3 linked regions of the Caenorhabditis elegans genome follow. The protein of the gene in region 3 interacts with the protein of the main gene of each other region in a pairwise test. Each region holds a gene or a part of one and is shown on either strand. Other genes may lie near its edges. The genes, in order: ZC455.1, dyf-3 and T07D4.2.

Region 1 (3,754 bases), on a different chromosome or scaffold from region 3:
TGCTGCGTCTCGCTCATTTCTACACAGTATTATCTTTGACGCCTTTACTCTACAGTACCTATATCCTGTCTGTGGTATGTTCAACATCTGTGTTGGTTTTTGAATACACGAGTAGTTGAAGTCGCGCGTTTTTGTGAAAAATAGTGGGAGAAATGTGTGAGACGCCGAGAGCTCTAGAGATGAAAAGTAAGGAGAACTTTACCACAATGATAACCAGAGAAACCGCGCAATTTCTCACTTAACTATCGATTACCTATTTTTTCATTTTTATTATCATTTAGTCACTCTAAAATTCTTGGAAAATTAGATTTTTGTTCCTCACTTTTATGGTAAAAAGGGATTTTGTTTTAAAACTCTTTTAATTCATATAATCCAATTTGACCAAATTTTCAACGCTCCATTTCAAAAAAATTCAAACTTTCAGTCAGTTTTGGAAAAGTACCAAGATTTTGAAAAATTGGACTTCTTTAGCAATTTTGAGAATCGCTGCTGGTTTGAGACTCTATAATGATCGATTAATTTAAAATTTTTGGTTGAGTTCCAAAATGATAGTTACCGTGAGAAATTTCCACTTTTTGACTGTAAATTTAAAAAAATTCAAAAGTTTTGTAATGTTTAGTAGTTAGATATTCACCACTTTTAATTTGAACACTATCATTTAGAAACTGTTGAGAAAATGTTTTTTTTAATTAGGGTATGGTCATAATTACAAAAACAGATCATTATATACTCAACCTTGTGACTCACTTTCTTTGGTACTTGAGTGTTGTTTACAACTTCAGTGAGACCAAAAACGAATCGTTTAGGGATAATGGGAAGATCATATAAGATGCATTAGCGACTGAGATATTTTGGAAATATTTCGCAAAAGTTTCTGTAGAATTAAAAGTTTACTAAAATAATGAAAATGGTTTTAACTGTGTAATTTTGAGCGTTCTTCCCAATCTAATTTTTACCTTTTTTTGACTTTATCACGTTTCTCAAAACAGTGGTATCTTCTTTCTTGGCCAATTTTCAATTTAACTCTGTGAATCTATCCAATATAACTTTTTCAACAGTTTAAAGAATTTATATATTTTAACACTGCCTGGTTTTCAAAGTTTATACTTAATATGTGTTAAACTGTGGCGATCAATAATTTTTGCTTTGATAATAAATTTTCTGCATGTTTCTTTTTGAAATATCTTCATATTTTAAACTATCTAAATTTAGGGATGCAGTTTTGATTATTGGCATTGGGAAAAGTTATTCAGGACAACTCCAGTCCTAGTGGAAATGTTTCTGAAGTAAAATCCTCACAAATGGCAGTTCATTAAAATGTTAAATATTCCGGCTTAGAATATGATCTGAAATTTCATTCAATAAAATTTGCCCTTTTCCCTCTGCTAAACATGCTCATTTTGTTCTGCCAACACATGAAAACGAGAGAATCACACTATTTACCCGACAGATTACCTTTCATGCTGGCCTTTCTCTCCGGTGCAAATCTGTGGCTAACTCTGACGCGGTTTTGTGTCCGTGCTCATAAACATGCCATGGACAAATGCTTGTTTCATTTATGGTTTTTGTGTTACTGTTTCTGCTGATTTTGATTTTGAACAATCATCTGCGACTCTTGCTCTTTTGCTCTGCCTTCTGTGCTCATGGCTCTTGATCTAATACCTCTAAGTTTTTTTGTTTCCGCGCGGAAAGGAGTCTCAAGTGCTCCAACCCAAGCTCTTTCACGTATTGATAATACATCATTCTCTCTCGTCCACTTCCAGTCATGCTTTCTCTTTTTCTTCTTTTTCTATTCTAGAATATTTTCTGTATTTATTGTCTCTAGACTCTAGTCAAAATAGGTCACAACAAACACAAAAGTACAAGAAGTTGAAGTACAAATACAAGAAATAAGTAGAAGAAGTGACAAGAAAACATCTAATCCACAATGTCATGTTCCCTGTTTGTGGCAGAAGTTCGTGGCTCAAGGAGATGCTCCGTTTGTAGGTAAGAAGATTAAGAAACTAATTGTACTAACACTAGAAGACAGAATACAATAAAGCATTTCAATAAGATTTGTAAACTTATATGTAGATTCGGAGGTTTTTTAGAAAGTAATATTAAATTCTAAATTGAAAATATTAAACAAATTCTCAAAAGCTCCATGTTACGAATTTTTGAATTTGAAAAAAAAACAATCGAATTATAGTAAGAGAATCACTTGAAAATATTTCAGATGCGATATATCTGCTCACGAGCCAGCGGCCATCTACGTGGCACCGGAACGAATATTTTCAAATCTCCCACCAATCGCCACGTCATTCAGCAACAATAATAGTAGTTTTAGCAGGTATGTTCAAGCAATGTATAGCCGTTAATTGAAAATGATAATCTTGTCTTTTTATCTCTATTTACCTGTCTCGTTTGCTCGAGAACTTTCTCCTATTTAATAATAAAGATCGAGAAATGGATATTTCGCAAAATCGAGAGACGCCGGAAATGAGAGAACGTTTGATTTGCCTTGGTTTGACGTGATATCCGATCCAATTGTGATACGGATTGCGCAGTCTAGTGCTCTTGCCAGATTCTCCACACATTATGACTTTATCATTTCCGCTTTTGTGTCCTCTATCAAGCATGACGTGAAGCAATTTGATTGCGGTTATGAGTAGAGCTTTTGAATTTTATTTTTTGTTCATTTTTTTCAAAGAAAGTTAAAAATCAAAAGAGTATTTTAAAATACATATACCTGGGTAACATTTTTTTTATAAAATTAATCGTTTTTAGAAAATTTGTATCTACAATAGTGTCAATTTTGGTCGTTCAGAAAATTTGATAAATCTTCTTTTTCGATGGATTTCCAAGCACTGCGAATTCTGAAAATTGATATAAAAACCGACTTAGAAACATTTGAACGAACACAAAATAACACAAGAAACCAAAAATTTAGTACGTTATTTTGTTTGAAATTTAGGATAAGCGCAATTTAATTTTATTTTCTTAGTTTTTTTTAAAGAAAAATATCAATAGTTTCGGGAATTTTCTTCAAAAAATTGTTGGATGTGGAAATTTGCCGAGACAAACTTAGTAATGAATAGAATAAGAATATGTAAGTTAAATATTTTTCGTTTTTTCCCAGAGAATTTTGGAAACTTATCAAATGAAACTTAGAAATCTGTAGAAAATATAGAAAACAAACAAAAAAAATTATTTGCAATTTCGACTGAAAATTCAGTAACCTGATTTGAAGAGCTTCAAAAGTTTACAGCACTATTCAAAAATAGCGTAAGCTGACATTTACTTTTATTTCTGTTTTAAGACAAAATCTCTGAGTTTCAAGTTTTTTTTCAAATTCCTCTTTGCATGGATATTATGTAGTTACTTATGTCAAGATTTTGACACATTTTCCATTCACTTCTAACATAAAATGCGCATCAAAAACCAGTACCTATTCCTTACAAGGAGACTTTTTTTCAAAAATAATATTGTTCTGTAGTTAGAAACGCAGAGAAATGCCTTTCCGAGACGAGAAGATCGTTCATTCTCTGTGTGGAAAGCTTTGTGTCAAGCATCCAGTTTTTTGTGAACTTTCTTCTATTCATTTGCTCCTCAGCGGCTTGCCTTTGCTCATTGCTTGTTCGGCTTCTTGTTGATTACTGTTATTTTTTTGTTTTCTTCTACTCGTATTCCTACCTTATATTCAACTCCTGTTGAAAGGGATTGTAGAAGAAACAGTTCAGATGTATTTTGTGAAAATGTGTGAATATGAAATTTG
Region 2 (3,754 bases), on a different chromosome or scaffold from region 3:
CCATCCTCATCGCCTTCTCCAGCTCCTCCTGCCGTTGCCGCTCGGACCTCGCCAAGTCATCATGAACTTTTCGCAGATAGGACAGGTTGCGGAAGTTCAGCACGTAGACCTGGAAGCTTAGGCTTCACAGGGCAGCTCGGTATCCGGTGTCTTACCTCATAAAGTTTCTTCAGTCGCTCCTCAAACCGCTCGTACTCGTCCATATACTGAGGTCGGAAGGACTGTAGCTTTGCGAATCTTTTTTGCAACTGCTCGTACTCTCGCTTCTTTCGCTCTATCTTCTCGTCGAGCTCTGCCTCATCGCTGGCCACGTTGTTCAGCTTGTTCTGAAAATTTGAGAGGTTAGCTGGGGAGCCTGCACCTAACCTAATTGTAAGTGACTCAGACCCTCCGGGCTTTAAGAACAATCACGTGGGTTCGAGTGGAGTGGGTGTTGCTTCAAGCCAGTTAGGCTAATTCAGTCTATTCCTTCAGCTCCAAGATCCTCAGCGGACTCCTCGAGGCTAGGGGTCTCTGAGCTTCTGGAGAAGATGCACAGGCCCGGTCTAGTGGCTTGAAGCCCTGCATATACCACTAGAGTTCAGGTAATGAAGCTTCAAAGTCTGAATCAAAGTTCAAGTCACTCTTTGACCAAGCCCACGCCATTAGAAGAAGTCCAAGCTTTTTACTGTCCGCTTCACAATCAGGATCGAGCCAGGCCAATCTCTCAAACTCTAAGACGCCAGAGCTCAAACCTACGCCACCAGGAGCTCCGTGACCCGTCAAGCTTACCGATAGCTGCTCAGTCTCCTGAGCGATGTTCTGCACTGTTGCCTGCAGCACCTTCTCGGCCTCAGCAAGTGGTACCGCCCGTGACGCGGCTCTCTCGTGTTGCTGAGATATGAACTCCTGCCGGGACAGCAGCTCACTGAGCAGGGCACCTGTTTCCGGGAGTTGTGATGATAGCTGACGAGTGATTCGGACCTCCTGCATCTGAACTTTCGACAGTTTTTTCAGGCTTTTTCAGGCTGGTGGCCTGTGAGACCCACCTTCGACGAGAGCTTATTCTTGACTTGGGTCCATTTTGGCGAGTTATCAGTGTTCGGGTCCTCTGCCTTGGCCTGGTAGAGGATCTTCATGGCCGGTAGGAGTTCCTGCACCGCATGACCATCAGCCTGGTACAACTTTTTTGGATTCATCTTGATTCTCGAATTTTGGAGCATCAGGAGTACCGCGTTCTTGATGAAAGCGACCCGATCAGCTTCTGTTTGGACTTCGTGTGCGTCAAGGTTGGATTCGGGCTCAAATCTGGAATTTTTGGGCTTAGAGTAGGCTTGGAAGTTAGTGGCCAAAGTTTCTATATTTTTCGGCCAACGATTTTTTTCACTGGGAAACTAACTTTTTCACGATCCATTCCAGCAATTCAGCCACCAGCTGAAAATTTGGGGTCCGGAAATTCTCAATTGACATCAAGCGAGGGTATCGGAGGCTTCGCGTCATCTCACACAGGTCTGAAGTTGGCGAAATTTGGGACTAGAATCCGAACTCGGCCATGATTTTGTAAAATTCAATTTTAAGTGTATTTTGGGTCTTTTTTTTGCGTTTTATGGTTTAGAAACATTTCTCACCTAGATTTTAATGCAACACTTATTTTTTCCATATGAAAATCTCAAAGTTCAAATTTAAAATTAAAAAAGCCTTAAAAACTTACTTCTCAGCTCACGATACGACATTTTTCGTGCAGAATTCAATTGAAACTTCTCTTCTCAACAATTGCCTGCCTATTCCCCCATTCAATATTTCCTCCGTTCCCATAGAAACTCCCTGCAAACACCCCAAAGACTACGGTCGACGAGCTTCTGCAGCTCAACCGGCGTTTTGTACGCAAACACCGCGACGCCATATTGCACACATTTTTCGAGAGGAGCGCCGCGCGCATTTTCTCCGAGTTTTGTTTGCTTTTTTGCGCATCTTTCATTGATTTTTTATTAAAATCGGGGGAAATATGGTTTAAATTATCGATTTCCGCCTGTTTTAGTGGTGAAAATGTGAAAAATCGTAGTGAAAAACCCTAGAAACCAGTAAAATTCTATTTGGAAGGGTTTTGGTCTAAATTTTGAGTTTTTAGCATTAAAACAATATGCTCAGCAGAAAAACTAATGAAAATGTGAGAATTTTGAATCAAAATACCTAAATTTTTTAAAAAATCCTAGTTTTTCTCTATTTTTCTCAAAATTTCCGGCAAAAGCCTCAAAATTTCAATTAATTTCCGGTTTTTCAGGTAATCCCCGGTCGAAATGGCTCTGAGAAAGTGTGGAAACCTGTTCGTGGCTCGTCTCGCTGGCACCTCGACCAGAGCGGCTTCCAGTGAGTAGAAATTGCAAAAAATGAATGGAAAAAAAACGAAAAAATCGCTGATTACCGGCTAAAAATGAAGAATTGAACGGAAAAAACGAATTTTAACCTAAAAAAGCATAAAAATCGCCAATTTTTTCAGCAATGACCGTCCGTGACGCCCTAAATCAGGCTATGGACGAGGAAATCAAACGTGACGACCGAGTTTTCCTGATGGGAGAAGAAGTTGCTCAGTACGACGGAGCTTACAAGATTTCCAAGGGATTGTGGAAGAAGCACGGTGATAAGCGAGTCGTCGACACTCCAATTACTGAAATGGGATTCGCTGGTACGGGAAATCACGCTGGAAATCGAGAAAAATCGAGAAATGTTGACTCGGAACGTCAAAATCACTAATAAATCCCCAAAAACAGCACCATTTTTTCGAAAAGAAAGTGTCCAAATTTACTTTAATTTTGGATCTTTTCTCTCAAAAGTTCAGTTTTTACACTAAAAATTGGATTTTTCGAACAAATTTCGGAAATTTTCCTAAAAACAATTAATTTTCGGCATTTTTTATTGAAAATTTCAATATTCACTGCAAAAAGCTCGGAAATTACGGAGTTTTGATATTTTTCGCAGAAAATTCCGGTTTTATCAAAATTTTGTCGAAAATTAAGCTGAAAAATCACATTTTTTATATAAAAATCAGATTTTTCCCAATGTTATTTGCAGAAAAGCTCTAAGACCGCGCAAATTCAATTTTTCAGCAAAAATTGTCTAAAAAGCTCGAATTTTCGCATTTTTCTCGATTTATTCAATTTTTAGCAAAATTTTTTCAGAAAAAACTGAAAATTCCTCCAAAAAAATCACATTTTTTTCAGGAATCGCCGTCGGTGCTGCCTTCGCCGGGCTCCGTCCAATTTGCGAGTTCATGACATTCAATTTTTCCATGCAAGCCATCGATCAGATTATTAATTCAGCCGCAAAAACATATTATATGTCCGCCGGAAGGGTACGGTCTTGGCAATGTGCCACGTTTTCTGGAAATTGCGATTTTCAGCGAAAAAATAGCCGAAAAATTGAAGATTTTCACCAAATTTTTGACTAATTCGTGAGAAATCACGCTTTCTGCTATTTTTAGAACGAAATTCCTCGGTTTACACTGATTTTTCAGGAAAAAGTCAATTTCTGATACAAAAAATGCGATTTTTCTAGATTTTTGACTGAAAATCAGGGTTTTTCTGAAATTTCTACACAAATTTTACCTCAACAGAGCTGATTTTAGCTTTAAAATCCGATTTTTCTCGACTTTTCACTGAAAATTTCATTTTTTCAGCCATTTTCGTTGAATTTATGCTGAAAAATCATGTTTTTCACATGGTCTCACGCCATTTTGATAAGAAAAAATTTGTAAAAATCATCAACTGATAAGAATTCT
Region 3 (3,754 bases):
TTGGCTCAGCTTTACCAGCTTTCCAAATATTTCTGGCTTTGACGCACTTTAAATATATTATTTCATTAAATCCTAAATATAAAGTTCACTAGTTTTGTCAAGAACACATCCAAACAACTCGGTTCCTGTGTACTATTGCATCTTGTGACCTACAAACTAGTCAAGGATCTTTGAATTTTTACCATAAGTACCCTTCAATAATATCTCCCAGCTCCACCAATTCAATCAAGTTCAAGATTTCAAATTGATTGATGTCGACAAATTAATTGAGAGTACAACTCGATCCGCCCTCATCAAATCCTAATCCATCACTCGTAATACATCGACCTTCTTCATCAGATCTTCCCTGTTTTTTGTGCACCACTCATCATTATTATCTCTTTCCACCAGACTCTTCTCTTTCAGTCGACTCTTCGGCTCAACTTTGATCCCTTATTGTGACCCGTTGTGGGGTGTTAAAAAAGTTTATTGATGAGTTATGACAAGTCTTTGTGGTGAGACTGAGAACGATGAGGTGGGGGAGGAAGGTATGAAGGTGGAGCCATTGTGTGCACAAAGTGGTTGCTACTGGTGGTGAGTAAATCAACACCTGATGAGCTGTTCAAAAAACAGAAGCAGAAGAAGAACCAGTCACTTTACTCTTTGCAATGTTTTCAGCTTTGCTTTCTTATTTCTATGATACTAGTATTACGTTAGTTTCGCATTATATTTTTTCAGAATTTTAGCTTGAATTTGTTCACTTATAATTCGCATATCACTACATATAACTTGAAATAGAAATGGAAATAGTTAATAAGATAATGATGGAAAGATCAATTGAATGACTAAAAATAAAACAATTAGAACTTCTGAATGAGTTTAGAGGTAGATTATTGGCTACTGGACCTTCGTAACAGTATCTATTTGTAAATACTTATAGTAGTTTTTGTAATTAGTCTTTACTTATACTAGGGCAATACAAAAATATATTCTGAATCGCTACAGTTTGGATGAAATCTCAATAAAAACTAGGCTCCAATTTTTAACCTTTTCCAAGTGTTCAGAAACTTTATTTCTACAGTTTAGAGTTTACTTATATTTTCCTATTCCACTGCATTAATTTTCTCATAATAGAACATGTGAGTAGATAATTTCTATGTGATTTATGTGATACGTTTGGCATATGTTGTACTTTTTCTCAGTTGCACACTTATCAGCTTGTGACCTGGTGGCACTCAACCCTTGCCGTCTCTCGAGATACATTGTACCGCAATAAAGATTTGAAAAACAATACGACATTAGCAAGAGCTGGTCCAAACTTGTGCAAGGTATGAGTGGCGTTTCTATTGAGAAAACACGGTCTACTGTATTTTAAATATCTTGATAAATGTTATTTGCTCTGTTAGTATAAACTTTACCAATTATGTCATTGCCAACAGCTATATTCAACTACGTCACGAATCCTATGTCTCACTTCTTTGCAACAAAAACCCTTGATCTTTTTAATCACATCTTTAAATGAGAGTTGATCTCATTAAACTACTCATTTGCTCAAGAAAATTCTGCACTCAATGCTGAATTGCTTTGTCCGTGTTTAAGTACCTAATTCCATGATCCAGACACATCTTATCTCATTCCGAACATTCCCGAACTTTCGTGTCATCCTTCACTTCACTTTGTCACTTCTCAAAAAGTTGTCGTTTCTTCTTGCTTGTCGACCCAAAAAATCATCGAGATTTTTGCAGGAATGCTGAGTCCTGCATTGCTCAAAGTGTCACTCAATCGAAGGTTCGTCAATGATTTTTTGTAGCTGCACTCATTGTTTGTTTTATGTTTCAATCTTTGTGTTTTCAGAAGCTCCGCTCCTGTACCACAAGATGAGGTGAGCCAATTGGTATTGAAGAAGGATAGAACTCTGATCAAATGGAAAAAAGAGGAAGAAGGGGAGGGGGTTAAGATGGATAAGATGGAAATGCTGGAGGGAAGAAGAAGATGGAAGGTTTCATTGGCGGGTACCTTTGAGAACCATTCCCGTGCTTTGGTCACTTGTCCTGATTTTTTCTTCACTACAACCTGATTTTATGGAGCTATATTCTCAAACAGAAGTTGATAGATAAAGTGTATCACCATTCCGTTTAAAAACTGTATTTGTAAAAGATTTATGTCTCAGTTCCTTAACATTTTTGGTAGTAGTCCTCGAACCTCGAAGCTACAAATAATAATTTGCTCTATTTATATGATACTTCCACTTCAAAACATTCATATTTTAACATAATATATTTATTTCAGAAAATGATGTTCCATTCGCGAAACCGGGCTGCATCATATTTGCAGCCGATGATAGAAGATCAGGAATTGATTGGATTCAACAGAGATAGAAGTGAGTTCATAATTTCTTTTTGCCTCTCTCCCGATTCTCGTAAAAAATGAGAATAAACAGCAAAATGTGTAGTAAAGGTTGAATAACGTGTGAATACCACGATGGCAGCTTCAATGTTCTTCTTTTAAAATAAGTTATTAACTTTATAAAAAAAACCAGAGAACAATTCAGATTGATTCTCAGAAAAAAAAGAATACTTCCGTCTATTTCTAAGTTGTCATAACTATCTTTATCAGGAAGAAGTTCCGGCTCAATAATCGTCGACAGTTTTGAACTCGGAAATGCTTCGCCAAGTCGCCGCGGTTCAATTGCATCTGGCATTCCAATGGACAAAAAAACCCGACGGAAGCTGTCAAATCCGGTAGGTTTTCTATGTTGTTAGCTCCCATCAACAATTGGAAAAACAAAATGAAAGATAAAATGATAAATGCGTTCGAGCATGATACCAATCTGATGAAAAGAAGAAACAATCTATCTCATATTGAGTCGGCATACCAACTGACGTTGGAGTCTCTACTTTTTTGATTTAAACGAAAAAAAGAAAGAAAAGATATCTGAGAGCCGATGATGGTCGTCTTTGATTCACTATTCATCAGATGATCCACTGACGAACATTTTCTCACCTTTCCCTGAGATGTGCCAGCCTATCAGTTTCATTTTTACCGAGTTACCGACCTTTTTTTTTCGTAATTTTTAGTTGCTTTTCGGGGATTTTTTTGACTACGAAATTTTCTCAGTAATTTTTTATTTTTCTTCCTTTGAAGAAAACATTTTGCTCGATTTCCATTGTTGCTCGAGGTTATTCACAGTTTTCTGAATGTGAAAAATTATGAGAAAACGCGGCTCCCATTCTTTCAGACTTTCTCTCAAACCTTCAGTATTTTGAAACATTTCAAAAACTCGCAGAGCATTCGTATTATGGTAACTTGTCCAGGCGACCGGCAGTTAGTTTCATATTCGTCCAATCTTTCCAATCTAGTTTCAGCCGAAAACCACTGCTTTCCCAAGTATACATATATTTAAAAAATAAGAAAAGAGAACTAACTATTAACAGAAAAAGAACGGGTAACTGAATATCCTTCTGCATTTAGTTTGATGTATCCTTCAAAAAGATAAGGAACAAAAAGTGACCAGCACATACATATATCGGATGTCTCGTTTGCAACTTTTGGCCTCCCATCCCATTTCCTGTCACCTCGTGACCTCATCGTTAGATCGAAAACCATTTGAGTGCAGTCAATGTTTTTGACACACTTCAGATACTCGCCATAAATCTTTTGAATCTTACTTCTCCATTCAATCTTTTCGGCTCTATTTCTTCATTTGTTTCTTTCTTATCAATTGTTCACACAGCCTGAAAATGTTCTCCAAGTCGAGCAATCGGTTCGGAACAAC

The links.
Region 1: the proteins of T07D4.2 (region 3) and ZC455.1 interact in a two-hybrid assay, tested with the Caenorhabditis elegans proteins (one large-scale study listed by BioGRID).
Region 2: the proteins of T07D4.2 (region 3) and dyf-3 interact in a two-hybrid assay, tested with the Caenorhabditis elegans proteins (one large-scale study listed by BioGRID).

Annotation. Positions count from the first base shown.
Region 1 is NC_003283.11:12,771,595-12,775,348, forward strand, and holds the start of ZC455.1 (LIM domain protein), read left to right. Parts: upstream 1-1,927; coding exon 1,928-1,986; intron 1,987-2,213; exon of another isoform or gene 2,214-2,215; coding exon 2,216-2,329; intron 2,330-2,402; exon of another isoform or gene 2,403-2,534; intron 2,535-3,754.
Region 2 is NC_003282.8:3,397,412-3,401,165, forward strand, and holds the start of dyf-3 (Clusterin-associated protein 1 homolog), read right to left. Parts: upstream 1,713-3,754; coding exon 1,691-1,712; intron 1,491-1,690; coding exon 1,379-1,490; intron 1,288-1,378; coding exon 1,029-1,287; intron 973-1,028; coding exon 772-972; intron 327-771; coding exon 156-326; intron 110-155; coding exon 1-109. Other genes in the region: pdhb-1 (Pyruvate dehydrogenase E1 component subunit beta, mitochondrial), read left to right, coding at 2,277-2,346, 2,477-2,662, 3,198-3,328.
Region 3 is NC_003280.10:8,871,913-8,875,666, reverse strand, and holds the start of T07D4.2 (UPF0046 protein T07D4.2), read left to right. Parts: upstream 1-1,724; 5' UTR 1,725-1,726; coding exon 1,727-1,767; intron 1,768-1,833; coding exon 1,834-1,861; intron 1,862-2,268; coding exon 2,269-2,359; intron 2,360-2,595; coding exon 2,596-2,720; intron 2,721-3,712; exon of another isoform or gene 3,713-3,719; coding exon of another isoform or gene 3,720-3,754.